Mus musculus: one gene and its partners. The protein of the gene in region 1 binds, or shares a complex with, the protein of each later gene. Links are inferred from orthologs where the notes say so. Each region holds a gene or a part of one and is shown on either strand. Other genes may lie near its edges. The genes, in order: Cwc27, Snip1, Plrg1, Sf3b2, Crnkl1, Snrnp40 and Snrpd3.

Evidence for each region.
Region 2: Cwc27 (region 1) and Snip1 share a complex: the UniProt entries of both Homo sapiens proteins name them as parts of the minor spliceosome. The link is inferred for Mus musculus from reciprocal best matches to the Homo sapiens genes CWC27 and SNIP1.
Region 3: Cwc27 (region 1) and Plrg1 share a complex: the UniProt entries of both Homo sapiens proteins name them as parts of the minor spliceosome. The link is inferred for Mus musculus from reciprocal best matches to the Homo sapiens genes CWC27 and PLRG1.
Region 4: Cwc27 (region 1) and Sf3b2 share a complex: the UniProt entries of both Homo sapiens proteins name them as parts of the minor spliceosome. The link is inferred for Mus musculus from reciprocal best matches to the Homo sapiens genes CWC27 and SF3B2.
Region 5: Cwc27 (region 1) and Crnkl1 share a complex: the UniProt entries of both Homo sapiens proteins name them as parts of the minor spliceosome. The link is inferred for Mus musculus from reciprocal best matches to the Homo sapiens genes CWC27 and CRNKL1.
Region 6: Cwc27 (region 1) and Snrnp40 share a complex: the UniProt entries of both Homo sapiens proteins name them as parts of the minor spliceosome. The link is inferred for Mus musculus from reciprocal best matches to the Homo sapiens genes CWC27 and SNRNP40.
Region 7: Cwc27 (region 1) and Snrpd3 share a complex: the UniProt entries of both Homo sapiens proteins name them as parts of the minor spliceosome. The link is inferred for Mus musculus from reciprocal best matches to the Homo sapiens genes CWC27 and SNRPD3.

The regions. Positions count from the first base shown.
Region 1 is NC_000079.6:104,814,154-104,818,386, forward strand, and holds the start of Cwc27 (spliceosome-associated protein CWC27 homolog), read right to left. Parts: upstream 2,801-4,233; 5' UTR 2,576-2,800; coding exon 2,534-2,575; intron 1-2,533. Other genes in the region: protein SREK1IP1, read left to right, coding at 3,201-3,213. UniProt on the Homo sapiens protein: As part of the spliceosome, plays a role in pre-mRNA splicing. Probable inactive PPIase with no peptidyl-prolyl cis-trans isomerase activity. As a component of the minor spliceosome, involved in the splicing of U12-type introns in pre-mRNAs.
Region 2 is NC_000070.6:125,065,320-125,069,471, forward strand, and holds the start of Snip1 (smad nuclear-interacting protein 1), read left to right. Parts: upstream 1-1,352; 5' UTR 1,353-1,433; coding exon 1,434-1,633; intron 1,634-2,687; exon of another isoform or gene 2,688-2,770; coding exon 2,771-2,873; intron 2,874-4,152. Other genes in the region: Dnali1 (axonemal dynein light intermediate polypeptide 1), read right to left, coding at 199-279. UniProt on the Homo sapiens protein: Required for pre-mRNA splicing as component of the spliceosome. As a component of the minor spliceosome, involved in the splicing of U12-type introns in pre-mRNAs. Down-regulates NF-kappa-B signaling by competing with RELA for CREBBP/EP300 binding.
Region 3 is NC_000069.6:83,069,038-83,072,537, forward strand, and holds the end of Plrg1 (pleiotropic regulator 1), read left to right. Parts: coding exon 1-27; intron 28-655; coding exon 656-764; intron 765-1,559; coding exon 1,560-1,699; intron 1,700-2,152; coding exon 2,153-2,346; intron 2,347-3,073; coding exon 3,074-3,133; 3' UTR 3,134-3,254; downstream 3,255-3,500. UniProt on the Homo sapiens protein: Involved in pre-mRNA splicing as component of the spliceosome. Component of the PRP19-CDC5L complex that forms an integral part of the spliceosome and is required for activating pre-mRNA splicing.
Region 4 is NC_000085.6:5,288,956-5,292,455, reverse strand, and holds part of Sf3b2 (splicing factor 3B subunit 2), read left to right. Parts: intron 1-1,033; coding exon 1,034-1,151; intron 1,152-3,500. UniProt on the Homo sapiens protein: Component of the 17S U2 SnRNP complex of the spliceosome, a large ribonucleoprotein complex that removes introns from transcribed pre-mRNAs.
Region 5 is NC_000068.7:145,931,901-145,936,194, reverse strand, and holds the start of Crnkl1 (crooked neck-like protein 1), read left to right. Parts: upstream 1-1,494; 5' UTR 1,495-1,590; coding exon 1,591-1,641; intron 1,642-3,229; coding exon 3,230-3,382; intron 3,383-3,857; coding exon 3,858-3,949; intron 3,950-4,294. UniProt on the Homo sapiens protein: Involved in pre-mRNA splicing process. As a component of the minor spliceosome, involved in the splicing of U12-type introns in pre-mRNAs.
Region 6 is NC_000070.6:130,380,632-130,384,131, forward strand, and holds part of Snrnp40 (U5 small nuclear ribonucleoprotein 40 kDa protein), read left to right. Parts: intron 1-2,762; coding exon 2,763-2,883; intron 2,884-3,500. UniProt on the Homo sapiens protein: Required for pre-mRNA splicing as component of the activated spliceosome. Component of the U5 small nuclear ribonucleoprotein (snRNP) complex and the U4/U6-U5 tri-snRNP complex, building blocks of the spliceosome.
Region 7 is NC_000076.6:75,516,690-75,520,841, forward strand, and holds the start of Snrpd3 (small nuclear ribonucleoprotein Sm D3), read left to right. Parts: upstream 1-1,352; 5' UTR 1,353-1,436; intron 1,437-2,624; 5' UTR 2,625-2,645; coding exon 2,646-2,771; intron 2,772-4,152. Other genes in the region: protein GUCD1, read right to left, coding at 465-507. UniProt on the Homo sapiens protein: Plays a role in pre-mRNA splicing as a core component of the spliceosomal U1, U2, U4 and U5 small nuclear ribonucleoproteins (snRNPs), the building blocks of the spliceosome.

The DNA of each region.
Region 1 (4,233 bases):
TTAGGCTTAAAATGGTTGTAAAACCTCAGTAGAGCATAAACAATGGCTTTATAATCTTAATGACAAATATTTCAAGACAGAACAAATATTTAATACAAAGCTCATTTTACCAATAATAAATGGAAACATGTATTCCCAACAACCTTCCTAACTTCGACTTGACAGATTTCTCACGCTTTCTATGCTTCAATGCTACCATTTTTTTTTTCTTACATTGTTTTTTGTTGTTGTTGTTGTTGTTTGTTTTGGTTTGGTTTTTTGATTTTTTGGTTGGTATTTTTGTTTGTTTGTTTGTTTGTTTGTTTTTTTTGAAACAGGGTCTCAATGGGGCTTTGTAGACCAGCCTGACCTTGAACACACAGAGATCCATCTTCCTCTGCCTTGGAGTACTGGTATTAAAGGAGTGTATGGCCACACCTACCAAGTTGTTACATTTGTTTGTTTTCAAAACAGGGTTTCTTTGTATAATCCTGGCTGCCCTGGAACTTGCTTTGTAGACCAGGGTGGCCCTGTACTCAGAGATCTACCTGTCTCTGCCTGCCAGATGCTGTGATTAAGATAAGCACCACTACTCCTGGCCAAGTTTCTACATTATTACTGCTATCTTTAAAATGACATTTGTGAAAGCAGGCTTAGTTAATCTAGGTACCATGTAACTAACAATTAAAACTTAGATCATAACATTAAAAAATTACCGACAAGTACCTGGACTTTGTGTGATTTCTTTTTTCTTTCATTCTTTTTTAAAATGTGAGTTCTGTAACATGTGTCTTTAATCCCAGTGCTCTATGGTGAGCCAAGGAGACAAGAGGTTCTCCAGAAGCTCACAAGCCAGCGAGGCTGGCACAGGCAGCATCACACAACAAAAAGACGCTGCCTTTAATTAAGCTGAGAGAAGATAAGGGCCATCAACTAAAGTTATTCTCTGAACCTTCGAATGTGTGCAGTGGGACCAGCATGGAACAAGACACAGACACAAACAGACATAGACACACATACACACACACACACACACACACACACACACACAAAGTTTTAAAAATACTTGTTGTATGAATGAGCTCCTGTTCAGAAGTGCTTTTACTCTGTGGATATATCAAATCATTTCCTACAGTAAACAACTGTTTCCAGCACAGCTAAGGACTCATATGAAACCCTGTTTTAGTTCTTAAAAAAGAAGTCATTAGAGTCAAACAACTAAATGTGCCCATGAGGAATAACAGTTTAACTCCACCCTCACCTATGCTTAATACCTCTCAGAAGCTAAAGAAACAGCATTAAGTCATGTGCCTAGCTATTCTTTCGTAGTGTACGAACTCTACGTAAAGCAATGTTCTAGGCCAGTGGTTCTCAACCTTCCTAATCCTGTGACCCTGTAATACAGTTCCTCATGTTGTATTTACCCTCAACCGTAAAACTATTTCCAGCTATTTTATAACTGTAATCTTGCTGTTATGAATCCTAATATAAATATCTAATATGCGGGGTATCTGATATTCGACCCCTGTAAATGGGTTATTCAACCCAAGGGGTCATGAGCCACAGGTTGAGAACCACTGCTCTAGATGCTCATCTTCAACTCTATAGTGTTTGCATTCTATATAGGAAAGAAACCAAGGTAAGATACTGTTAAATACTGGGTAATTGCTGAGACCCAGGGCATCACTGAGATCTGCTATTTGATAGGCTTCTTTGTTACATTTGAACAGGTAAAATAGCAAACTAGAGAAATGAAGCGTGAAGGTTCTGCATTGTGGAATGGTCAGTCTATTTCATCTCTACACGCATTTATTCATTAAAATTAATATTGTCCTCTAGAAATATATAGCTCAGCATGAAATCTATCAGGGAATCTACTCCCATTCCTATGAAATAACATTCCTCACTCCTCCCCTGCTTCTAACTGACAATTATCTCAAAAGATATCTCCTCCAAGATGTTTTCCCCATCATTTCCTGTTTTCCCTCCATCACTGTCATGGCAATATAATCTCTTCTTCAATACCTCCCAAGCAAAGGCAGGTGTGTTCATGCACGTCTGTAATCCTGAGATAGGGAATTAGTATATATATACGTGTGTGTGTGTGTGTGTGTGTGTGTGTGTGTGTGTGTGTCTATAATACAGACACACATATAAAGGTAGAATACCAACCTTTGTATCATCAGCACCTAGTAGAGTGCGTGGTGCCAAAGAGGCCTTCAATAATGACTGTAGAGAATGCACGATCTCCAAGTTAAACAACAAGCAAAAGTGTACAATCTTGAGATAAGTCTTAAAAACAATAGACACTAGAAGGCGCTCACGTGAGTTGGATCAAGGAAGTTAAGGGGTCAGAAGACTAGCGAATAGGGAGGTTGCCCAAGAACTCTTTCAAAAATATGCTGAGACACGTCACCGTAAAGAATATAAATGCAACACTGGCCATATGCAGGGTGTGGAGAAGAGTCCTTTGGTCTTTCCACCTCTAAAATCCCCGATAGCTGCCCCTCCCTGCCCGCCCCCAGTCACCGTGTCCAGGAGGTAAGGCTCTCACCTTCCCATTAGTGGGCGGCTCCTGGATGTAGATGTTACTCATCTTGCTCAGTGCTCAGGACTCCGCTCCTTAGTGTGGCCGCAAGCGAATGGCGGGTCTCCGGCGAGGCCCACCTGTTAGCACACAATTCTTTAACCTGAGTATTTGGGGGAAAACTTCACTCGGTCAGAGTCGGACAAGACAGCCGTACTAATCACTAGTTACTCCCCAAACTAGCCCATCATGGACGCCGCCATGTTGCTCCCGGACCGGAGCACCGCTAACCCCGGGAGGGGGGACTTCCCTGTCCTTCAGGAAACTAGAAAAGACTATAGGACCTCTACAACTTTAGAGAATTTGTAGCGAGGTTTATAATACGAGCTAAAGGGCCAATCCGTAAATCCCGGGGCTGCGTCCAGGTCAGGCGATTGCAGATAGCACTCACCTCCCGAAGCGGGCCGAAATGGTTCCGACCGCGTGTGCTCCGCGGTAGGACACCCCTGGAAACTGCATCCACAGCCACTTAGTTCCGCCAACCCTAGATGTGCATCGGGCCTTCCCCTGCCCGGTGAAGTTGTAGTGGCCGGGTGGGAGAGATCCCTTTGGGAATGCGCTGTCCTCGCAACGGACCTGAACCTAACGTGATCTCGAAAGCCCAGGACTCCGACGATCCCACTCACCTTGCATCATGGCAGTCCCAGGTGAAGGTCAACCGCAGGGCTCTCTCACTCCAGAGGAATGAGACGAGCAGGGAAGCCCAGAGCACGGGGGTGGGTGGCAGCGAGCACTTGGGGAATCAGGCGAAGGCCTAAAAATTTAGATTTGGTCGGCTTACATGAAAAAGCTTATACTACAAGTTCAAAGCGGGGTGAGAAAGATAGGGAAAGATCATCTCTGTCATTCTTGGACAAGCCCAAACTGCACAGGATTAGAGGGAAAGTGTATTGTAAGAGGGACAAGGGACTTGGTGACAATGAGAACTGTAGGCCTAAGGGGACAACTTGCCCAGAAGACTGTAACTTTCACACGATTTCAAAATAAAATTCGAAATGTGAGCATTTTGCCGAATCCAGGTGGCTATACACATTATACTGAAAGTCGCCAAGAAGAGCACCTGAGGCTTGTTCTAGCACTTCCAGCCTGTAATTTCTATGTGGCTGCAGGCCCGCTGCTGTGCCCTTCCGGGCCTCAGTTTCCCTATCAGTTTCAAGACAGTGCTTTCTCGAATTAGATCTAAGATTCTTTGTAGGTTCCACTTTTGTGTTCAGAGGTTTCTAACCTAGAAACGGCAAACTGAGCTCCGGGGATGTTTTTGTTGCTCCAGTTTACTGGGGAGCCGCTAAGAACTTCCCCAAGCCGACTTTGTCAGAATGTGTTTCTGTAAAACCCTATTATCAAGCAGGTGTTTTTAAGAGATATACCCGCCTCGCATCTCGGAGATTCACAGTGCATAGTACTGTAGGAAAGACCCTCAAACTATTTGTGAAGCCCCAACTTTGCTTAACACTGCCCCTTCCCGCTACTGTTTGACCCCTGTCTTTGTTCCGTGGCAGCCTTTTCTGAACTTTATTCTAGAGATTACTGTTGCGGGGTGGGGCTGCTTCCTAACTTCTGCAGAGGAGCACTCCAGGAGCTGTGAAAAGAGAGGTGACTACATTTATTGAGTGTGTGGCAGTCAGCATGGTAGAAACCCTTGCTCTCCTAGAATTCGGGGGGGGGGG
Region 2 (4,152 bases), on another chromosome or scaffold:
TTCTCATCTTAAATTTGTCCTCTAAGGTCATAGCTAGGCTTCTTGTTCTCTTCTCCCAACCTCCATCCCTGTCCCAATTCCCTTGGCTGTCAGCCCCAGCAATCTGTCCCCTGAAATTCCAGAGATCCTCAAAGCTGGGATGTCTTTTCCCCATGGGAGTTTGTAGGATCTCGCGTCCCCTGAGACGCCTGTTCATACCGTGGGGCTCCGTTTCTCTGTATTCCGGCTCACCAACACCGGGGTGTCATATTTGAGCAGAGAGTCTGCTGGGGGTATCATGGTGGCAGTAGGGGTAACAACTCCGTAGCGGCCCCTGTGGAGTCTTGTTTGCGATCACCATGGAAACCCCTCCTCTCCTTGCCCCATGGATGGGGCGGGGCCTCTGAGGAAGGCGGTGCCGGCCGCGTGCAAGTTTTGTTCTACTGTGCTTTCTCCGCAAGCACTAAGTTTCTTAGTAAAGAAGACTGGACCCCTAGCGTTAGGTCTGTTTCGGTTTATGATGAAATGGACAGACCACCTTTGATTAAAACGGAAGTCATCTAGTGACTCTATAGAGTATTTGGCGACGATTGGCATTTGGAAGCCAGAGGCTGGCAGATCTTTGTGGATTCCAGGACAGCCAAGGCTATATAGAGACACTATTTCAAGAAACAAAAAAGAGTTTCACATTGTTGAGTGTCTGTGTTTCGTAACTACTAATAACGCGCAAGGAACAGAGCTGGGTTAGCTTTCCCACAGGTTTTTTTCTTTTTTCAAAAAAAAAAAAAAAAAAAAAAAAAAAAAGCTGGGCGATGGTACCACACACCTTAATGACAGCATTTGGGAGTCAGAGGGAGGCAGAGTTCAAGGTCAGCCTGGTTATAGAGTGACTTCTAGAACAGCCAGGGTACACTGAAAACCTGACTATGACGGGGGGGGGGGGAGATTGTCATATATATTTTTTTGAGGTTCTGGGGACTAATCCAGGGCTTCGTACTCGCGAGGCAAACGCTCGCTCGGTAACTAAGCTACAATCTCAGCCTTCCCTCCCCTTTTAACTCTTGATTTCTATTTGGCGGTGCTGAGGATGAATTCAGAGCTTTGCGATCTATCCGAGCTACAACTTTTTCAGATTTTGAGACAGTTTCACTAAATTGCCCAGGTTGGCCTCGAAATTACTGCGATCCTCCTGCTTCAGCCTCCCGGGGGGTTGGCCCTGCCTTTTCAGTACTCCAGCCACACCTCCCAGCAGCGGGGACCCCGTGGCCACTCGCGCCGGCGTCCCCAGCGTCTGAGACTCAAACACCTGGGGCCCCGCCCATCAGGGGGGCCGACACCGTGAAGGCTTCTGGGATAGCGCGCTGCCCGGAAGCGGAAGTGCAAAGCTGTCCGTCACTTCCTACGGCTCAAGTGGCTCAACGGACCGTGCAAGTGACTCTCGGTCGGGCCGCAGGATGAAGGCGGGGAAAAGCGAGCGGGAGCGGAGCGGCCGGCGGCGACACCGGTCAGGCGACGCTCTGACGACCGTGGTGGTGAAACAGGAGCGTCTGAGCCCCGAACCCGTCGCGCACCGCCGGCCCGACGCTCCAGCCGCTAGCCTGTCCCCGCCCGCCGCCGAGCCTGGCCACTCGGGTCACCGCGGGAGCCGAGCCCGGTAAGCGAGCCGGTGATTGGGCGGAGGACGGGATGGCGCGGGGGCCGGTGGTGCGAGCGGCTCTGGAGTGCAGAGCACCTGTTGAGTTGAAATGAGATTTCCCCCGCCTGCCCGCGAGTGGATGGTGCGAGTGGCTTCTCCCCTCGTCTGCCTACAAAGACACGTTGGGTCTTGGCGACTTCTTCGCAGCACTCATTCGCCAATGCCTCCATGTGGCATCGATTTATTGAGTGCGTAGTGTGGGTTAAAGATCAATTGGAGGTACTGGGTCACAAGGCAAAGAAGAGAGATGCTTTTTCCTTGGCGAAGTTGGGCAGGCTCTAACTCGAAGAAGGAAAACAACAAATAGATAATTTCAGTCAGTATTAAAGACAGATCAAAACGGCAGTGTGGTAGCGAGAGGCTGGGTAGAAAAAAGAGAGGGCTTGTACAGAGGTGCTCCTTAACGGAGACCTGGCTGGTAGGATTGATCCATTCTCTTGAGTCAAGAGTCTTTTAGCAAAGACTCCAGGAAGGACCAACCCACTGTGGTCGGGCATGCTTGTAACCCAGCAGAGGGGATGCTGAGACAGGAGGTTTCTGAGTGTATACACACAAACACGGCGCGTGCACGATTATGACAGAAAAATATATACATAGAACCTGAGCTGGAATTCTGTTTGTTTTAGAAGTTGAACAACAGCAGCAACAAAAACAAAAACAAAACAGCCAGCATATCTGGAATTGAGAGATGGAGCAGCATTGTAGGCTGGTAGGAAGGATGTGGGATGGAGGACAGGGCAGGGCCCTGAGACCTGCCAAGGGATTGGTTTTGGTTGTTGGAGAAGGGAGTTGTGTTAGGGAAAAAACCAGGCTAGATTGGCTTCCTGGATAGTAGTGCCAGATAGTAGGATGGCGCATCCGGAGAAGAAAGGTTTCTGAGGCGTTGGGGTTGGAGAATAAGGTTGTCTAGGTGAGAAGGCTTAGCAGGCCATTGTGTATGTGGTTGGGAGAAGTGTTTATGGGAAGTGAAGGCCTGCTGTGGCTACTGATCTCACAGATGTGTTGTGTTTAGTAGGTGAGCCTGATCCTGGAAGCTAACTTACTTTCGGGAAGGAACTTTGAGGTAAAAAATCCTGTGTACCATTCTCTGTAAAGGTCCCCAGCCAAGAAGAAAAGCAAGTCCTCTGGGAGAAGAAGCAAGTCACCACGGACCAAGAGAAGCCAGAGTCCCCACTACCCCATGGTCAAAGTGAAGCAGGTGAGTGAGTGAGTGAGTGAGTGGGCAGGGACCATGGGTGGAAAGCTCCAGCCCAGAGCTGTTGCTGAACCCCAAGAGGTTGGCAGCCAGGTGTGGACATGCTTCCTTGTCACTGCAGTGGGCTTTTCTAAAAATGGGATATGTATTTGGGGCTGTTTTTCCTGAAATTTTAACGTTTGGAGACAATTGTTGATTTGATTCTGATAACTCTTGTCAGAAATAATACGGAGAGATGTACATATCCATGTTTCTCTCAATGGCAACTTCTCGCACAGCTGGACAGTGTCGTGGTCAGGACACAGACGTTTCACCACCATCAAGGTGCCTCATGATGTCTGATACTTCTCCGCCTTTATCCTTCCTTACCTCCTGGCTGGCCGCTTCTCTCTTTCTATTGTTCTGGATGCACACTTAAGCCCAGGGTCTTTAGGTTAGAAGATTGTCCTTGGTGCTGTTGAAACCAGCACAGATGGGTCACGTTGGGTCTGTGAGTGCCCATGTGCTGTAGGACCAGTTTTTCTTTTTCTTTCTTTTTTTTTTTTTTTTTTTTGAGACAGGGTTTCTCTGTGTAGCCCTGGCTGTCCTGGAACTTACTTTGTAGACCAGGCTGGTCTCGAACTCAGAAATCCGCCTGCCTCTGCTCCCGAGTGCTGGGATTAAAGGCGTGTGCCACCACGCCCGGCTAGGACCAGTTTTTCAAAGGACATTGGTTGTCTCCATTGAATTATTTTACTCCCACATTGAAACTCAGTCAGGTATATGTCTATCCATGCAGACTCGATTACTGCACTTGCATAGTAAGTCTCAAACTGAATGTCCTCTTTGCTGCATATGAGCTGCCATGTGGGTGCTAGGAATTGAACCCAGGTCCTCTGGAAAAAGTAGCCAATGCTCTTGTCTGTTGCGCCATCTCTCCACACCACCCTCCTCTTTTTCTTTTTTTCCTTTTAGCTGTTCTGGTTCTTTCGTCTCCATCTCTATGTAAATGTTCGAGAGTGTGTGTGTGTGTGATAAAAATCTTTTAAAAATAGTATTTTTTTGCATGTGTATGAGTGCTTTCCCCGCCCCTGCATGTATGTGTATGCACTGTGTATGTCTGGTGCCCACAGGGTCCAGAAAAGAGTACCAGAGTCTCCAGAACTTGAGTTAAGGCTGGCTGCAAGCCACCTCATGGGTTCTAGCAACTGACCCAGCTCCTCTGGAAGAACAGAAAGTGCTCTAACTGTAGAGTTACCTTCTAGATTCCTTAGTAACATCTCGAAAGAGGCAGGTGTTGTGG
Region 3 (3,500 bases), on another chromosome or scaffold:
AGGCTGCAGAGCCACAGATCATTACAGGTACGATCTGCTGCTCCCCCTGAGCCGTACCAGAGGCACGGCCGGCCATTCTGCAGCCGCCGCAAGCACCTCCACCTCCGACCGACTCGCGTTCTAGTTTCTCTTTGGATTTTAATCATGGGCATTTGAAATTTAGGATTGCAAGGTGTTTTCTAGGGTTTTTTGTTTGTTTGTTTATATTTTTATCTTGTGTTTTTTATGTATCATTACATAAAAAGGTTAGGCATTGTAACCTATCATTCTAGTATGAATCTTACTTGAATGACATTGGATCTTAACTGTGACTGGAAAGTCATTCTTTCAGTTGGTTTGTTTTGCTAACTACAGATTTTAAAATAAAAAGATTCATTTTTTCCCCTTCCCTGCCATTGGAGTTTAAAATTACATATTTGTTTTTATTTGCTCTTTATACTTAGCCACTCTCTACCGCCTCTGGCAAAAAGTTAAAAAGAACTAAATATAGAATAACTACAGTTTTAGGATTTTGAGGAAATGATTCACAGTGATAGGACTTTCATTTAGTGTACACACACACACACACACACATACACACACACACAGACAAGTACATTGTGTTTAATGGGTTTTAACTTGTGGATTCTGTCCGGTCTCTGTCTTTTCACTACAGGAAGTCACGATACCACAATACGATTATGGGATCTAGTGGCTGGAAAGACACGAGTGACACTGACGAACCATAAGAAATCAGTGAGGGCTGTGGTCTTACATCCGCTACTGTAAGTGTGCTGTGCTGATAGCTTGCCTTTCTCCGCGTCTCAGTGACGCTGAGGCCAGGGGGGCCTGCTGTACCTCTGCCTGTGCTGCTTAGGACGGCCTTTCAGTTCCCATCTGCTGCTGTTGCCTCGTGCTCTGTGGAATGAAGGCCATAGCCCCTCTACAGAGTGACAAATAAGGCCAAGTTGTGGTTAAAGCTGAATGTCAGAGTAGGCGGGAGTCGTGTCTGGACATACAGGGTACTGGACCCACTTTGACCTGTCCAGATTGTTTCACATATGGTGTCCTGTCAGAGACAGAGCAGAGTTAGATTCCTAAGGGAGAAGTAAGTGTGCAGGAAATGGAGGGAGAGACATCAGCACTGCGGTTCCCAGAGAAGGCAGGCCACTCCTGACTCAGCTCATCCCACACACATCCCCCAACCCTCCCCCACTGCTCCCTGCGCCTTCCCTTTCTTGTCCCCTTCCCTTCCTTTCCTTCCTTTTCTCTTGTCATCCCTCTCTTTCCTTCCCTTTCAAGATTTTTTTTGCCCTGTGTGTGTGCACATTTGTTGGGCTAATTAGTGTGTAACACACTAAAGAAAACAAAACACTGCTCTGGGATCTAAAGTAGTACATCTCAGCAGCTGGACAAGGCTGGTGGAACTTGGAGCGAGGATAGTGATGAGTTTGTACTGTGGTGAAGTTACATTTTACTGAGGCTGTCTGGAGCAGTGAGCACACAGAGCTTTTTCAAAGCTGCGAGTTTTCTTTGATACAGTGTACTTTCCCATTAATTCCTGTCAATCTTTGTTCTAGTTACACATTTGCGTCTGGTTCTCCAGATAACATAAAGCAGTGGAAATTCCCCGATGGAGGCTTCATTCAAAATCTCTCTGGTCACAATGCAATCATTAACACGCTGGCGGTCAATGCTGATGGAGTGCTTGTGTCTGGAGGTAACACAAGGTTTCTATGGTGTGTTGAGTGTGCCCTTCTGTTGATGTGAGTGAGTTAGTATCTAAAGCATCACACTGTTGTAGTGACACACCTACTAGGGTGTATGTGCCTGTTTGTAATGTGCCTGCCGTCGTGCTCAGTGGTGTTCCATGCAGCATGTTGCATAGTTTAGACATCTTTGCATTCCCATGTGATGAAGGTAGGGATTTACGCTAGGAACTGCCTGATGTTTGGTTGGATTTTAAATGTTATGGTGTCTATAAATTAGAGACTTAGAGGGAATTAGAGAGAGAGGGAGGGAGGGAGGGAAAGAGATAGTGTGTGTGTGTGAGTGTGTGTGTGTGTGTGTGTGTGTGTGTGTGTGTGTGTGTGTGTTGCTGGTGTAATGTTCAGCTCCTGGGTCATCTGAGCTGTTGAGGGGATAGAAGTAGAGCTGTGTGTTTCCCTTGCAGCTGACAATGGCACCATGCACCTTTGGGACTGGAGAACTGGCTATAATTTTCAGCGCGTCCATGCAGCTGTACAGCCTGGGTCTTTGGACAGTGAGTCAGGAATATTTGCTTGTGCTTTCGATCGGTCAGAAAGTCGGTTACTAACGGCTGAAGCTGATAAAACCATTAAAGTTTACAGAGAGGATGAGACTGCGGTAAGTTCTTAGTGTCCATCTCTGTCTGTCTGTCTGTCTTCCTATCTTCCTTCCTTTTTAGTTTAATTTAATTTTATATTTTATATTTAGAGACAAGGTATCACATGGTACCTCTGGCTGGCCTGGAACTCACTTTGTAGCTCAAGTTGATTTTAAACTTGAAACTGTCTTCCTGCCTCTGCTTCTCCGATGCTGGGATTTTGGGCATGAGCCAGCACACCCAGCTTTCACATGCATTTTAAAGTAAAAGAATTGCATGTCAATTTGACAAGGACTGCTCATTTGAGTACAAAAAGAAACAGACTCACTATAGTACCATCAGTTTCATCCTCTGGATAGTGATCTGACCTGCTCAGGGCTTCTGTGTGGTTTCATTGATGCAGACACATCAGTGATAAAGCATTACGTTTTAAGTACAGTTCTGCCTCAGTACAGTTCCTGGGAAGGAAATGATACATTAATCGTGGCAAACAGGAGACTGCTGAGGGAAGGAGGGTAGAGGTAGAGCGCTGGGGTTGCTGTAATAGCTAAATGGAAATCCAACCGAACCCATGTATCCCTGGTCAAACTTGGATAATGCCAGAAGTTTGTCAGCTGTTTCTAAAATTTTTCAAGAGCCACTCAGCACGTCCTGCCAAGCAAGTACTATGATTTAGCAGAGACAGATCTTTTCATTGAAAGGAAACAAACTAATAAAATCACACTTTGTTTACTGTTCTGATTTTAGACAGAAGAAACTCACCCAGTCAGCTGGAAACCAGAAATTATCAAGAGAAAGCGATTTTAGTGTCTTCATGGCTGTCCTGTTCGTGCTTGGTGTTGATGAGGATATCCGGTCTTTCATGAAAGCTCACTTGCAGAAAACATTGCTGCTTTGTATTTTACAATAAACTGCTCCCATGTCCCTCACCTGTGTTTTATTTCTGAAATAAACAGTTTATAGTTTTAGAAGTAAACGGTAAATATAAAGAATTCAGGCATGTTGAGGATTGTTGTTCCTAACACTATTTTGACTGGGTTTTTTTTGTTTGTTTGTTTGTTTTAGTTTTGGTTTTTATTTTACATGTATAGGTGTGTTTTGCCTGCATGTACATTTGTGTACAACATGTGTGTCTGGTGCCGATGAAGGCCAGAAGAAGTTGTCAGATCCCTGA
Region 4 (3,500 bases), on another chromosome or scaffold:
TAAAGATGTGTTCATTTATTTTATGTGAAGAAGAGGGCATCAGATCCCATTAAGGATAGCCATGAGCCACCATGTGGTTGCTGGGAATTGAACTCAGGACCTCTGGAAGAGCAGTCAGTGCTCTTACCTGCTGAGCCATCTCTCCAGCCCTTTGCGGCTAGTTTTATGTGTGTTATTTAGGTGGCTTGTGGAGAATGCTGGCATACCATTTGAGTTGAATTTAAACTATGATGGTACAGATTGAGGAATGCTGTAGGGGTGTCCTTCCCCGCATCAGCTTTACCCAGTGGGTGACTCAAGAATATTAGAAAGTAAGCATTAGCCGCTGGCTGGTGGTGGCGCACGCCTTTCATCCCAGCACTTGGGAGGCAGAGGCAGGCAGATCTCTGTAATTTCAAGGCCAGCCTGTTCTACAGAGCAAGTTCTAGGACAGCCAGGACTACACAGAGAAACCCTGTCTGACACAACCAAAAGAAAGGAAAGGGGAAAGGGGAAAAAAAGGGAAAAAAGGGGAAAAAAGGGAAAAAGGGAAAAAAAGGGAGAAAAGGGGAAAAGGGAAAGGGAAAGGAAAGGGAAAGGGAAAGGGGAAAGGAAAGGAAAGGAAAGGAAAGGAAAGGAAAGGGAACATCAAACACAACATGGAAACATAGAGGAAGTGCTGGAAACATAGAGGAAGTGCTGGAAACATAGAGGAAGTGCTGGAAACAGAGGAAGTGCTGGAAACATAGAGGAAGTGCTGGAAACATAGAGGAAGCTCTAAGAAAATGTCTCATGGTTCTTTCTAATGGTTTCATTTTTGTGTATTAAAACTCATTGAAAAGTAGAAATCTCTTCCAGAAACCAGAAACTTCCTAGGCTTTTTCATATTTGTTTTTAGGAACTTTCCATCATGATAAGTTTCTAGTTAACATGCAAACAGGTGTGGGGAAGATGACCACCTCAGTGTCCCTGTTATTCTCCTTCGAAGGAACCCATTTGTCAGGGCTATGCGCCAAATTCTTTTCCAAGCTGAGTCCGCACTTCTTTCTTGTAGGCAGCTGTGTTAATGGAGCAGGAACGGCAGCAGGAGATCGCCAAGATGGGCACTGCAGTCCCTCGGCCGCCTCAGGATATGGGGCAGCTGGGTGTCCGTACTCCTCTGGGGCCTCGCGGTAAGACCCTGGAGTGGAAGGGCAGAGCAAAGAAGTTGTTCTTAAAACGTTTCCTTTATCTCTGTGTGGTGGCACGTGCCTGTAATTCTGCTGCCAAAGCAGCGGCAGAAGGGAAAAGGTGGTCCTAGAATTTATAGTAAATTCAAAGATGTCTGGGCCACTTAAACCTTTTCTTAATTGTTGTTTGCTTTTGTTTTTTCTGTTTTTTCTTTTTTTAAAGATTGATTTATGTGAGTATACTTTAGCTGTCTTCAGACACAGCAGAAGAGGGCATCAGATCTCATTACAGATGGTTGTAAGCCATTATGTGGTTGCTGGAATTTGAACTCAGGACCTCTGGAAGAACAGTCAGTGCTCTTAACCGCTGAGCCATCTCTCGAGCCCTGTTTTTGTTTTTCAAGACAGGGTTTCTCTGTAGCCCTGGCTGTTCTGGAACTTACTCTGTGGCCAGGCTGCCCTTGAACTCAGTAATCTACCTGCCTCTGCCTGCTGAGTTCTCGAATTAAAGGCACACACCACCATCTCCTGGCTTGAAAACCTATCTTAGAAAGACTAAAAGCAAGCTGGGCAAGGTGATGAACACCTTTAGTCCCAGAACTTGGGAGGCAGAAGGATCTCTGTGAGTTCAAGACCAGCCTGGCCTACAAAGCAAGTTCCAGGACAGCCAGGGCTATTACATAGAGAAACCTTGTCTTGAAAAAATGTTTTGAAAAGACCCAGAGCCTAGAGAGATGGCTCAGTAGTTAGGAACACTTAACTGCTCTCCAAGAAGACACACGTTTGGTTCCCAGTACCCATATTAGATGGCTCACAGTGTAACTGCAGCCAGAGAAAATCCAGCACTATGTTCTGGCTTCGAAGGCCTCTCATGTATACCCACAGACATAGACACATATTATAATTTTAAAAAAAGAAAACAATCAGAGCTGGAAAGGTGGTTTAGTGCCCTGGCTGCTCTTCCAGAGGACATGACTGACATGTGTAGCAGAATCCCTACACATAACATAATAAACTTGGCTGGGCAGTGGTGGCATATGTCTTTAATCCCAGCACTTGGGAAGCAGAGGCAAGGAGATCTCTTTAGTTGGAGGCCAGCCTGGTCTACAGAGCCAGTTCCAGGACAGCCAGGGCTACATAGAGAAACTCTGCGTGGAAAACAAAAACAAAAAACAAACTAAAAATAGTAAGTTATTAAAAGTCTTAAAACAAAAATTTCTTCTACTGGGTTTGAACTTAAAGCTCTGAACACACTGAGCCTGAGCTGGGGCATTTGGCTATATTCTCAGCACTTCAGAAACTTGTAAATACAATGAGCCCTCAGTAGATTGTGGATCTATAGCTAAGCACATTTCATATAACTAAGTGGAAAGTAAAACAAGTATGTTGTATTTGGGCTGGAGAGATTTGTAAGTAGCTCTTGCAGAGTACCCAAGTTCAGCATCCACATCGGGTGGCTTGCAGCTGCATGCAACTCCAGGAGATCTTACGTCCTCTTTGGGCTTGTAGGCACTGCACTCCTGCATATTCTCCCACATACACATACATATAATTAAAAAATACCTATTTACAACATTAACAGACTTTCTTGTCATCCCCTAAGCCTCAGCAGAATTATTCACATAGCTTTGCATTGTAGTGGGCATTCCAGATGGCTTTAAATACAAAAGTACTTATAGAGTCTGTGTAAATCCTGTTTTTTATGAAGGCCTTAAGTATCCTGATTCCAGTATTTGGGTGGGGTCCTGAAACAAAGTTTCTCTGTACCAAGAGACGTGTGTGTGTGTGTGTGTGTGTGTGTTACTGAGGCTGGAGAGATTGCTCAGTGGTTAAGACATTTGCTGCTCTTGCAGAGGTCCCAGGTCTGTTCCCTGCGCCTACCTGAGCGGTCATAGTCACCTCTAACTCTGCTTCTTCCTGGGGATGCATGGCCTCTTCTGACCGGTGCACATACATCCATGAAGACAAAAAACCCATCGGATCTATAAAAAGTTACTTGCTGAGCTTGGTGGTACATACCTTAAGGAGCTGATCTCTGTGAGGTTGGGTCCAACTTGGTTTACAAAGCAAGTTCTAAGACAGCCTGAGCTACACGTAGTGAGGCTCTGTCTCCCAAAACAAAACAAAAACAAAAAAAATGATTACTTGTGTCAGCTATGACTGTGCACATCTGTAACCTGTAACCCTAGTGGTCAGGATGTTGCAGAAGGATCCTGAGTTTGAGCAACACGACTCTACCTCCCAAAACCCAAAGAAAGGCTGGAGAGAGAGCTCAGCTGTTTGGAGCACTTCTACTCCTGCAGAGTGCCCACGTTCAGTTCCCAGTTCCCTCATGCTGGTTTATAAACAGCA
Region 5 (4,294 bases), on another chromosome or scaffold:
CCTGGCAGTGGAGAAATTGGTCATTTTTTAGCTGCTGGAAAGCATGAGTTTTCTCTAAGAGTATAACATTCTGGTAAGTTGACCAAGCTCCAGTAGACCACATATCCAAGAATATCTGGGCAATACGAATTAGTCTTCAAAGGTTAAAAAACAAAAAGACACACAGTTGGGTGAATAGGGAGTGGGGTAGATCTGGGGAAAGCTGGAGGAATGGCTATGATTAAGACGCAAAACTTTCAAAGAAGGAATTAAAAAACAAACAAACAAAATGCTTGATAAAAAGGAGTATTGATGGACAAAGGCTCGAGGGGGAGGATGAACAGGAGGTACCCTGAGGATGTTGACAGTTCCAGGCCAGCCTGGTCTACAGAGTGAGTTCCCGGACAACCAGGGAATCAGGACTACACCGAGAAACCCTGTCTCCAAAACAAAACAAAAAATCTTGCCGTTGTCCTAAATCTCAAGACTGTTACAAAAGTAAACTCTAACAGTTTCTTGTAACTGACACGGGGTGGGGATGGATCGTAGAAAGTCCTTTGAGGGTGGGGAAAGAGTAGGAAAAGCTCACCTTCCCAATTTTGCTGTCAATTCCAAAATTTTTATTTTAAAAAATTATCTTAACTATATGCTAAATCACTGTTTTTAATGTACTTCAGATATTATACGTACTAACATCTAGCGAGTATTTTACAGAGACAGATTTTTTTCTTTAATCTTAAGGAAATAGATACTTTTATCCTTTTATAGCTAAGGATATTAAGGATAAGAGAATTGAGATAATACAAATTTACATGCCGGGCGTGGTGGCGCACGCCTTTAATCCCAGCACTTGGGAGGCAGAGGCAGGCGGATTTCTGAGTTCGAGGCCAGCCTGGTCTACAGAGTGAGTTCCAGGACAGCCAGGGCTATACAGAGAAACCCTGTCTCGGAAAATAAAAAAAAAAAAAAAAAAAAAAAAATTTACAGACTAAAAATTTGATCAGTTTCTGTAGGTGCTTTGCTACTGACTAATTTCCACCTTTCTCTAACATCTTGTTTCAAAAATACCTCTTCTGATTTTTTTTTTAAAAAAATCCACATTTCAAGATTATTAACTTGGTCCAATCGCGGGGAAGCCTAAGGCGAGGGGGCGGGAACTCGAAAGACTACAAATCCCAGAATGCACCGCTGCCCAGGCTGCTTGCAGGGTTTCCTCGGTGCTTTTCCCTTCTCCCCGGAGTTTCTACACCTGAAATGGATTTCTACGCCCCTCAAAGGTGCCACGGCCTACAGCTGCACGCATCCCGGAGATAGACCTGGATGAGCCCTCGCCGCCAGAGCCCTATATCCCTGCGGCGCAGCCCGCCCTACCCACCTCACCCGCAGCTCCAGCAAGCCGCAAGTCTCCACAGAGGACGCGCACACAGTTGCTAAGGAAACGACGCGGCGTTTCCCCTGACTGGTGAGGCGGTCAAAGGTCGTCTTCGCAAGTTCCGGTTCCGGTTCCGGTATCTAGTTTGTTGTGGCTGACTCTGTTGTGCCGGCCGGTTCGAAGTGCTTTTCTCAAGTCCGGTTGTCGGCCAGGATCGCTCGAGTTCCACGGCTGCAGTCATGGCAGCCTCCACGGCGGCCGGGAAACAGCGCATTCCTAAAGTGGCCAAGGTAGGCGACCGGGAGGAGCCCCCGAACAGCATCTGCGGTGTCGGGCACCAGAGATTCGAGACAGCGATCTCTGTGCCGCGGTCCAAGAAGACAGGTGGTCGGTGAGGTGGCGCAGGGTCTTGTCACTCCGAGCTCGTCTCGCGTCTGCCCAGCCTTCCTTCCAGGGTTGCAAAGCATCGGTTCGGTTCGGTAAACTGTTTGCTTTGCTAGTCTCTGGGGATCCCCTACTTTTACTCCGGGCAAGAGTGCTCCACTAAAACTGGAGAGAGAGCGAAATGGCAACCCAGATAGATGTATCCAAGTAGTGTAGATATGCCATGGGCAAGAGCCAGAAGGGTGCCTGTAAACTTGAGGGTAAACTTTGTGAAGGAAGTTAACACTTAGGCTGCATCAAAGTTAGGCAGTGAAGAGAATGGCAGAGGATAGGCTCTGGGCAATGGCATAAAATTTAGGTTAGATAGTAAATTGTTATATTTCCAACTGTGGTTGATACTTCATCAATACTTAATAAGTGTCAAATCTTGCACTTAGCCATCACATACAGTCATTCTCTGGAAGTCTGATTTGGCCATTTTGTCTTGAGACAAGTTCTTATTTCCACATGTAATTATTGTAAAAGTCTGATGTGGTAGCTTCCCCCCTACCCCCGCTCCCAAACCCCTATCCTGAGTCATAAAAGCCAGGGAATGCATGCTGACTAAGTTTTTGACAGCTTGACACAAGATAAAGTTATCTAGGAGGAGGCATCTGGACTAAGAAAATTCGTCCCTAAGCTTGCTTGCTGGCAAGTGTGTGAGGCATTTTCTTGATTACCAATTGATGTGGACGCCCCCCCCCCCCCCGCCTACTTGGGCAGTGCCACACCTGGGCAGGGGCTCTGGTGTAGTCTGTGAGAGCAGACTGAGCACAGCTGGTATGCCTCCAGCTTCCTGCCGTGTCTTCCATTCATGAAGACTGTGGTCCAGTTGTGTAAGCCAATCAGTCAGCTCTTTCCTCTGCAGGTTGCTTTTGTTGGTGATGTTCGATCACAGCAGTAAAAAGGCCAATTAGAACTTAGGGTCCATCTGCACTTGAACACATTTGACTTTTAAGCTCCTGTGTTGGAACTATAGCTTCAGGTGCTCTAAAAGCTTACAGGCTAATGATGGAGACTTAGTAAAAACAAGTTTCAGTTGGCCTAAAATGTCATGGAAAACCAGCTTGTCCACTAGAAGGATTAAAATATGTAGAGGAGTTCTCTAAGCAGGTTATAAAGAGGAAGGAGTGTGATTTTTTTTTCCCCCTGCCCCTCATGGAGAATTGAAGATGTTATTCAAAGATGGCATCTTGGGCACATTCTTAGGAGGGCTTTTTCTTTCGAGACAGGGTTTCTCTGTGTAGCCCTGGCTGTCCTGGAACTCACTCTGTAGACCAGCCTGGCCTTGAACTCAGAAATCCACCTGGTTCTGCCTCCCAAGTGCTGGGATTAAAGGTGTGTGCCACCACCCTGCCATTCTTAGGAAGTTTATGTCCTGGAAAATATACAAGGGTTTTAAAATCTCGTGTGGAGAGCACTACCCAAAATAGGAATGTCTCTTTGTCTTAAAAGGTGAAGAACAAGGCGCCGGCCGAAGTGCAGATAACGGCCGAGCAGCTCCTCCGAGAAGCTAAAGAGAGAGAACTCGAGCTCCTCCCACCTCCACCTCAGCAGAAGATCACAGATGAGGAAGAATTAAACGATTACAAACTCCGGAAAAGGAAGGTGAGTCCGTCAGAATGCACTGTGCAACCTGTCCCAGTTGCTGCCCACAGTGGGAACGAGCTCCCAGAGAGCCTATGTGATGGGACCTCAGGCGAATATTGGGAATTATTTAATCCACGAATATTATGGAAGTTATATGGGAAGTTCTATAAATTACTGAGCACTTGAAGGTAATCTTGAAAGGTGTTTTAACATTCTTGTTCTTAAAAGGAATGAGAGTAGAATATATTAAAGTACTCGTTAATTATTACAGAGAACAGCAAAATCTTGCAATAGCTACCCCTACATTTTTCTTGTCTCCATAAACTTTAGAGAAACACCTGTCACTGATACCCTTCTGGAGGAAAGCTGCTGTTCCTTGGCATCTAGGATATAATTTCTTTTAGGAAGAGTAAAACGAGAAGTGTATATCATAAGGAAAAGCAAAGTCGTTTTCTCTTTACTGTACTGCTCCCCGCCCCCCTTTGCCTTTCAGACTTTTGAAGATAACATAAGAAAAAATAGGACTGTGATTAGCAACTGGATAAAATACGCACAATGGGAGGAAAGTCTAAAGGAAATTCAAAGGTAAAATTGCCATGACTATAGTGTCTGTCTACAAAGAGTGAGTAAATGAGCACATGAAATCTAGGAAGGTAAAGCATGGACCTGTACTGTGCTAGTAATTTCCAGCTTCTCTTCCATGGAGCCCTCTGAGGCAGTGGGTACTGGGAAGGACGGTTGTGGAGTGTCTCGGGAGGGTCTACATATGAGTCTTGCTGCTCTCGTACTCCTGTCACTAAAGAACAGTGTTTTATCTGTTTCCTGTGTTAATTTAATATTGTTTCAAAATAATTGTTTCAAAAATAGAAATGTTCTCCTGAAATCTGTTGTCAAGATAAAAATTGTGGGTGGCCGTCACTTCCTGTTGGC
Region 6 (3,500 bases), on another chromosome or scaffold:
GCAGGCAGAGTGCTATACACACGGTTTAAGAGATGTTAATGCTTATGTAGATAGTGGCTCACATCTGTAGTCTATAGTGCTAGCCTAGGGAGGCTAGGGCAAGAGGATCACAAGCTTGAGAGCAGCCTGGACAACATAATAAGACCTTATCTCCAAAAGAAAACAAAAAAACTGGTAAGTAACCCGAGATGGCTCAGTGACCAGCACTGGCTGTCCTTCCAGAGGACCCAGGTTGACTTCTCAGCACCCACATGGTAGCTCTCGACTGTCTATAACTCCCATTCCAGGGGATCCGACTCCCTCACACAGACATGCGTGTAGGTAAAACTATTGGATATAAAATAAAAATAAATAAACTACAGATAACCAGAGTGTAGGACAGTTTCCACCCCCAAAAAGTTTACATTGTGCCATGTCCCATCCTAACGTCTATCAGCCATTGTGTCTGTCCTGTACTTCCTTCCCATATACGGAGTGTATGAGTGTGTACCTTTGCGGTGACTGGCTTCTTTTTAGTTAAGCTACAAGAATTTGATTCTCCTATCTACACCACAAGGACAGGCAGGCAGGCAGAACCATCTCGTGTTAATGACGTCTTCTGAGTACAAACATAACTGCTGCTGCTGCTGGTCTATGAACCTTGTTTAGTATAGGTCTGAGGTCTGTCAGGTCCTTGTGTAGGAGTTTCCTATCATCTCGGAAGACAGCACGTTACACCTTCTTGTAGGGCAGGTTCTTTGCAGAGAGTAAGTCCTAGCCATTGAATGTTGATATATGCCAGTTTTGCTTTGAAATTTGAACTTATCTCAAATATGAGGAATGTACAAATATAGTCCAAGAATATTGCCTTTAAATTTAGCTCTGTATTCTAGAGTATCCTTCCTGTGTTTCTGGAAAGCATCCTGATTCTCATAGCCATGCAGTCTTATCTTTCTAAGCTAAGTCTTCTGGCTTGGGGTTCACAGTAAATCTGTACCTCTGACTGGCCTTGAACTCCTAGATAGTTCTTGGCCTCTGCTTCTTGATCCTGAGATTAAAGGTGTGCACCACCACACCCAACTTGTTTTGTTTGTCTGGGAGGTAGGTTCTGACACTTGCATCTTCCTACCCGCGCCTTCTGAGTGCTAGTGTTACAGGCATACATTTAAACACTCTCAGTGGGTTTGTGTGTGCGTGCATGTGTATATACATCCTCCGGAGGCAGAAGAGGGTGTCTGATCCCTTGGAGCTAAGTTATCTTGTGGCTTCTAGCCCCCCATTGTATATCCTGGGAAATGCATTGGGGTGCTGTGGAACAGTGCCTGCTTTTAACCGCTGCACCCTCCAGCCCCACTATTCAGATTTCTTACATCATACATGCATTACCCAACTCCTTTCTGAAAAAAAGTAACTGCCTTCATTTAGGGGATGTCGGTTATTTTATTCATTTAGAAAAATTATATGGCAGTATTAAATGAAGTTTTTTGTAATACCAATGACCTTCACAAAATTGCTCATCTTTTTTCTTGTGACATCCAGGCTATTTTTGTTAGTGTTAATGTTTATTTTTTACATATTTGCTTAATCGTCTATTATGTAAATATTTTTATATTTTGGCTTTAGAGTTATTTTTAGGAAATGCTCAATAATATTTAGAGCCTGCCATGTCCCAGGCATATTACAGGCATTCTTATTTATAATCTTTAGAATGGAAGAGCACTTGCCTAGTCTGCCTGAGCCCCTAGGTTCAATCTCTAGCACCACAAAACATATAAAAGACAGACAGACATGTACAGAAGATGTAGATGCTGTTGAGGCTGAGATGTGATTCACTGGTGGTGCACAGAACCCTGGACTTGAACCTCAGCTATAACAAACAGCAAAGGACAGGCACCTAACATATTCTGTGTCTGTCTGCAGAGGAAGCCCAGAAGGGTTCTTTGCATAAATATGCTTTTTCTTTTCTTTTCTACATGTATGTGTGCATATACACATGTGTATGCACCGCTTCTATATTCATATATGTGACATAAGATGGAAAATCTTACACAGTGTTTTCCAGTTTCTTGTTTACATTATATAATAATTTTGGGCATTGTGTTCATTTTGTCTCATTGTCAGTTTTCCTGGGTGTCCCTGGTTGGCCTGGAGCTCGCCGCAGTTCTGCCTGTTTCCCAGGGGATGCTCCTGAATACGCCACTGTGCCAGCCTTGCGCACTTTTATTAGTATGAGGTTTTTTTAATTTTGTTTTAAAACAAAAGTGCATTATATAGTTCAGAGTATCTTTTTTTTTTTTTTTGATCCTTCTGCCTCTCCCCACAAGGGATGCTCTTGACTTGGAGTGGGGGTGAAATGGTCTCATGGCCAAGTTAGTCTGGAACTCTGTGGTGTTCAAACTGACTTCAAAGTCCTCCTTCATCTGTTTCCTGAGTGCTGGAATGAGACATAAATCACTAAGCCTGCCATCTGATTTTATGTAGGTTTTTTCTCATTTCTTAGATTTTTAAATTTTAAATGATGTATATGAATGTTTTGCCTCTGTGTGTGTGCGTGTGTGTGCGCGCGCGAGCGTCAAGTACCAGAAGAGGCCACTGGATCCCCCTTGGAATGATAATTACAGACAGTGACCCGCTATGTCATTGGTGGAAACCAAACCCAGATCCTACACAAGAGCAGCAAACATCCTGACCCTCCGAGCCACCAAAGGTGTCTGCCACCATACCTGGCCTTTCTCTGCTGTTTTTCAGTTTGAATCCTGAATGAAGTTTTGCATTTTTTACAGGTCTGGGACCTACGCCAAAACAAGTTAACCTACACCATGAGAGGCCATGCAGACTCTGTAACTGGCCTGAGCTTGAGTTCTGAAGGCTCTTATCTCCTGTCCAATGCAATGGACAACACAGGTAACTTTGGACAACAGCTCTTCTGGGGCCTTTAACATTAATGGTGTGTGTTGGGAAGTGGTGCTGCTGCTCAGCTAGTTAAGCTACCGGTCATCAAACGTGATTGCTTGAGTTTGAGCCTTGCCTCTGCTCCCAAGTGCTGGGATTAAAGGCGTGCTCAACCACGTCCCGCCCAACGAGTCTTCTTAAGCACCAGGCTGGCTCTGTAGCCCCAGGCCTTTATTTTTGTTTTTGTTTTTTAACTTTTTTTTTCCCCAAGATTTATTTATTTTATGTATATGAGTATACTGTAGCTGTCTTCAGACACACCAGAACAAGGCATCGGATCCCATTGCAGATAGTTTTGAGCCATCATGTGGTTGCTGGGAATTGAACTCAGGACCTCTAGAAGAACAGTCATTGCTTTTAACCCCTAAGCCATCTCTCCAGCCCAGAACCTTTTTTTAGCTAAAAAAAATTGGTTGCCATATTTAAACTTTGATGGATATGACTAATCTGTCATATCTGAGAAATCATTTGGGAATTATTTCTTTGACATTGGGTTTTTTAAGATCCAGGCAGACCTTAAAGTCAAATTTACATTGAACATCTTGCCTCACTCCCCACCGCCCAAAAAT
Region 7 (4,152 bases), on another chromosome or scaffold:
ACAAAAAGCGCTGAGAAAAAGATGTTCCCTTTGCTGGGTGCTCCCAGGCCATTCTTTTCCCCCTCTTTCCCGCCCCTTTGCTGAGAGCTCTCAAGCCATTCTTTCCCCCTCTTTCTCGGCCTCAGGCTTTCCACAGTTCCCCGGGGAATAGGATCACCCAACGTGCTTCAAGCAGGGCTATTCGATTCTGGACAAGGTTGTGCCTTTTTGCCCCTTGGACTTTTCCACTTGACGGCTCTCAGCACTCCCTGGGCTTCAAGCCCCAGGAGACTCAGGAACGACCCTAAGTGGAGGACAGGAGATGAGAAGGAATATCCACCTAGCTAGGACCCACTAGAAGCTCCAGGCTGGGCTGAGGCCGCAGACGACCCAAGGTCGCGCGCGGCCAGACCCTGCCCGGCTCTAGGGCGGAGTCCCCCTCCGTTCCCCCGGTTGAAGGCAAGGCCCTGAAGAGAGGCACTGACCGGGCTCGAGCGGCTGCCCCGCTGCCTCTGCCTCCGTCCTCATGACCCGGATGGCGCAGGGCGCCCATGGCCCCGGCCTGGAGCTGATTGCAGCGGCGACTTCTGCTGGGCAGCGAGCGCGGCCAGTGAGCGCAGAGTTCCTCCTCCTCCGCCTCCGCCGCCGCCGCCGCCACCGCGGTTCAGAGCCGGGTAGGCGGTGGCTAGGCCGCCTCAAGCCACGCCTAATCCCTTCCAGGTCTGGGCGCTGGAAACCCGCCCCTTCCATAAGCCACGCCTCTTCCCTTCCACCCCCACTTCTCCTTCCAGAACCCGCTACCCGTAGGTCCTTCCCTGAAACGCTCCGGGGGCCCCTCCCCCTCCCCGAGCCCCGCCCCTCCCCGAGCCCCGCCCCCAAAGCCCTTCCCCTAGCGACGTGGGCTCCCCACGCTCTCCCTCCGCTAGGTCTGTTCTTCTGCAGCCTCAGATGGAAGCTCTGGTTCTCCGCAGTGCCTTATCGAGACTCCAGGGAACACTTTCCCGACTCCTTTTAGGTCTTCTTACCCAGACAAGGAATAATGAGAGTTCCCAGGGCTCAGTGCGTCCCTTACCTGCCGGTGGCCGGATCCAAAGCTTAAATCTCTAGTCCAAGCCTCACTTCCTGTCTCCCCAGAGCACTGGGCTCAAGCCCAGATCCCGCCCAATCCGCCACTACAGTACTCAGGGTTACCATGTTCCCTTGTTGGGCTCCAGGATTGGTGTTTCCGGCGGTCCCCCGGGCCCTCTCCGGTGCCGGAACTATTGTGCTAGAGCCCTGGTTTCCCCAGCCGGCTAAGTGAGAGTGAAGGGCAAGTAGGCTTAAAGGAAAGGGAGGGGCCTGCGCAAGGCATTCTGGGAGCGCGTGGTATTCGTGAGAGTCGGGCCGGTCGTTCTCTCGCCTTCGCCTTCTAACGTTTGTGCCAGAACCGGAAAAAAAATAAAGCCTGCAGTTAATTGGTGAGGAGAGGCGGCTAACGGGAGAGAGGAGGCCAGGGCTTCCCCAGGGGGTTTAGGAGCTGGAAGGGCCGCTGCGGAGGAGCTCAGCGGGGCTTGCTTAGCGGAGGGCGGGAAGCCAGGGCCTATCCAAAGCTCATCTCCCGAACCCTTGAACAGTTATTAATTTACGCCTAGTCTGCACGTTCGGTGCCTTCTCAGGTCACCGATTTCCGAAGCTTACGGGCAGTCATTTCTTGCTAATTACCTCCTTTCCTTTTGGATCATCATTTACAACGTCCCTTTCATCCCTGCCTCCACTCCCATTCCTGCAGTGGCCCTCTTTTCCACGCTGCTGCAGAAGTTTAATCAAGTTGCCGTGCTATATGTTCGATCCACTTTGTAGATGCTACTCTTTTTTTTTTGAACCTTTGGCTATCATCCTGCAGTGTTTCCCTACCATTTTCAGCATGGAAACCCACACTCCTAAAGTTGAAAGCCGTGGTTCCTCACCGAGAGAGAGAGACTGTGTTTAGCATCCTTACAGTCTTCTCATGCAAATAAATGGTGTGCTCCGGTTTTGAGTCGTTTCCAATCTCAGCATTTTAAAAGCCCTGTGCATAGTCTTTGTCTTGTAGTGAGACTTAAAGTCGAGCGTTTACCCTATTTCTCTGCTTGATGAACATTTCCTATTTATAGCACCGTAGCCTTGACAGTTTTGGTCTGCTTTTTGGTGGGGATTCAAAACGCTGGATTGAAAAGCGCAAGCTCTTTTTCCTAGCTTCCTTGGGGCTCAGGTCTATATGTACTATTAGGTTCTGTAGCCTTTATCCAAATGTGGTGGCTGACTACTTGGGATATTTCTGGTGTGACTGAAAGACTGAGTTTGCTTTTATTTGCATTTTATTTAACTCCATGTAAACAGTGATTTGTTTACACTCCGGGTCTATATCATAGCCCTTTTAGTGACTATAAAGGGTCATATGGCTGGGATGAGAATGGGGGTAGTACTCTTTGTTCCCATTACTTTTCATTGTCCAGCTTACCATCCTTCCCTACCCTACGTGTTGCGCTAATTTGCTGTGGTGGTTCCTTGAGGCCAAGAGCCACACTCCTTCCACAGGAAACGCAGCTCTTGACATCATTTACAAAGCCCATGGCGTGCCAGTCCTTAAGCTCTGAAAGATGACCATCGTCTCTCTTTCCCTGTAGCCCGGGAAGAGTCCTGCCAAGATGTCTATTGGTGTGCCGATTAAAGTCTTGCACGAGGCTGAAGGCCACATAGTGACGTGTGAGACCAACACCGGGGAAGTATACCGAGGGAAGCTCATTGAAGCAGAGGACAACATGAACTGTCAGGTATCCTGCTTGGCACCAGGGCTGGGAAAGGGCTGTGGCTTCTATCCTGTGGGTAGAGCGGTGTACTTGGAGGTCTTAATGAAGTTATTCTCATCAAACAGTTATTAACTAAGTACTTATTACCTGTCAAGCACTCTTACAGGCTCTAAGATTTTATGTCAGTATAGACTTAGCCTTGAGGCAGAAAAGTCATTTGACAGCCTGTGGTTGTACGTGTGTATCCGAGCACTTGAGAGGCTGAGGTAGATTCTCGAGTTCAAGGCCAGTCTGGGCTTTATAGCAAGACCACACTGCTTTTGGTAGGGAGTCAGAATGCTGAATTGAAAGCACAATCTCTTTTCCTAGATTTCTCTGGGGTTAGGTCTATATTTACTGTCAGGTAGCCTTTAGCCAAATACAGTTGCTAAGTACTTGTCTATAAAACAACCAGTTAAGTTTCACTTTTCTGTCTCAGAGTCGGTCAGGTTCAGAGCCAGTGTCTGCTTCCCAGCACAGTGTATAATTTGCAGGATCTTCTACTCACGTATTGTGTGTGCTTACTTTTGTCTTGGAGAAAGTTTCATCTGATAAAACTGCCAAAGTTTTGGCATATGGTTTGGGGGTTTTCCCCATTAATTAAGAACTTGAGCTTTGGAATCAGAGAATTCCCTGATTCCAAATTGAGTTGGGCCATAATGATAGGACCTTGGGTATCCTGGTCACTTGTTCTCCCCTGAATAAAATGAGGATGGAGTTGTTTTGGATCCTCTGTGCTGTAAATGCCAACCCAGAATTAGATACACCAGAGACTTTGGGGAGGTGGCGTGAAGGACGCCAGTGACCGAGCAGGATTGCGGAAGTGATTGGTTACTTTGCTTGTTGCTGTGATCAAATTCCTGACCAAAGCAACTTAAGGAAGGGGGAGTTTATTTCGACTCACAGTGTGATGAGACAGTCTGATGCAGAAGAAGTCATGGTGGCAAGAACTTGAGGAGGGTACTAACTAGTCACATTGAATCTGCAGTCAGGAAGCAGAGATGAGTGCCAGGACTTAGCCCAGTTTCTACTTTTCACCTCCACCTAACCTAGACAATCCCTCGCAGACACGCCTGTCCCTTCAGTAATTCTAAATCCATCAAGTCGGTAATATTAATCATCGTAGCAGGAGGGTCTTCAGTCCAGGAAAGGAAGGCAGAGTGAGCAAAAGGAGCCTCAGGCTACAACATGGTGCTGAGGAAGTTTCACCCAAGTAAGAGGAGTAACTGGAGCCAGTAATGGACTGGCTCTGATGTTTCTGCTGTGGTCAGTCCCTGGCAGCCTGCTGGAAGGGCTGTCGCAGCGTGAATGCCCTGGCAGGTCCCCCAGAGTGGCAGCTGGAGGGTGCCAACCTGTTGTCTCCTGA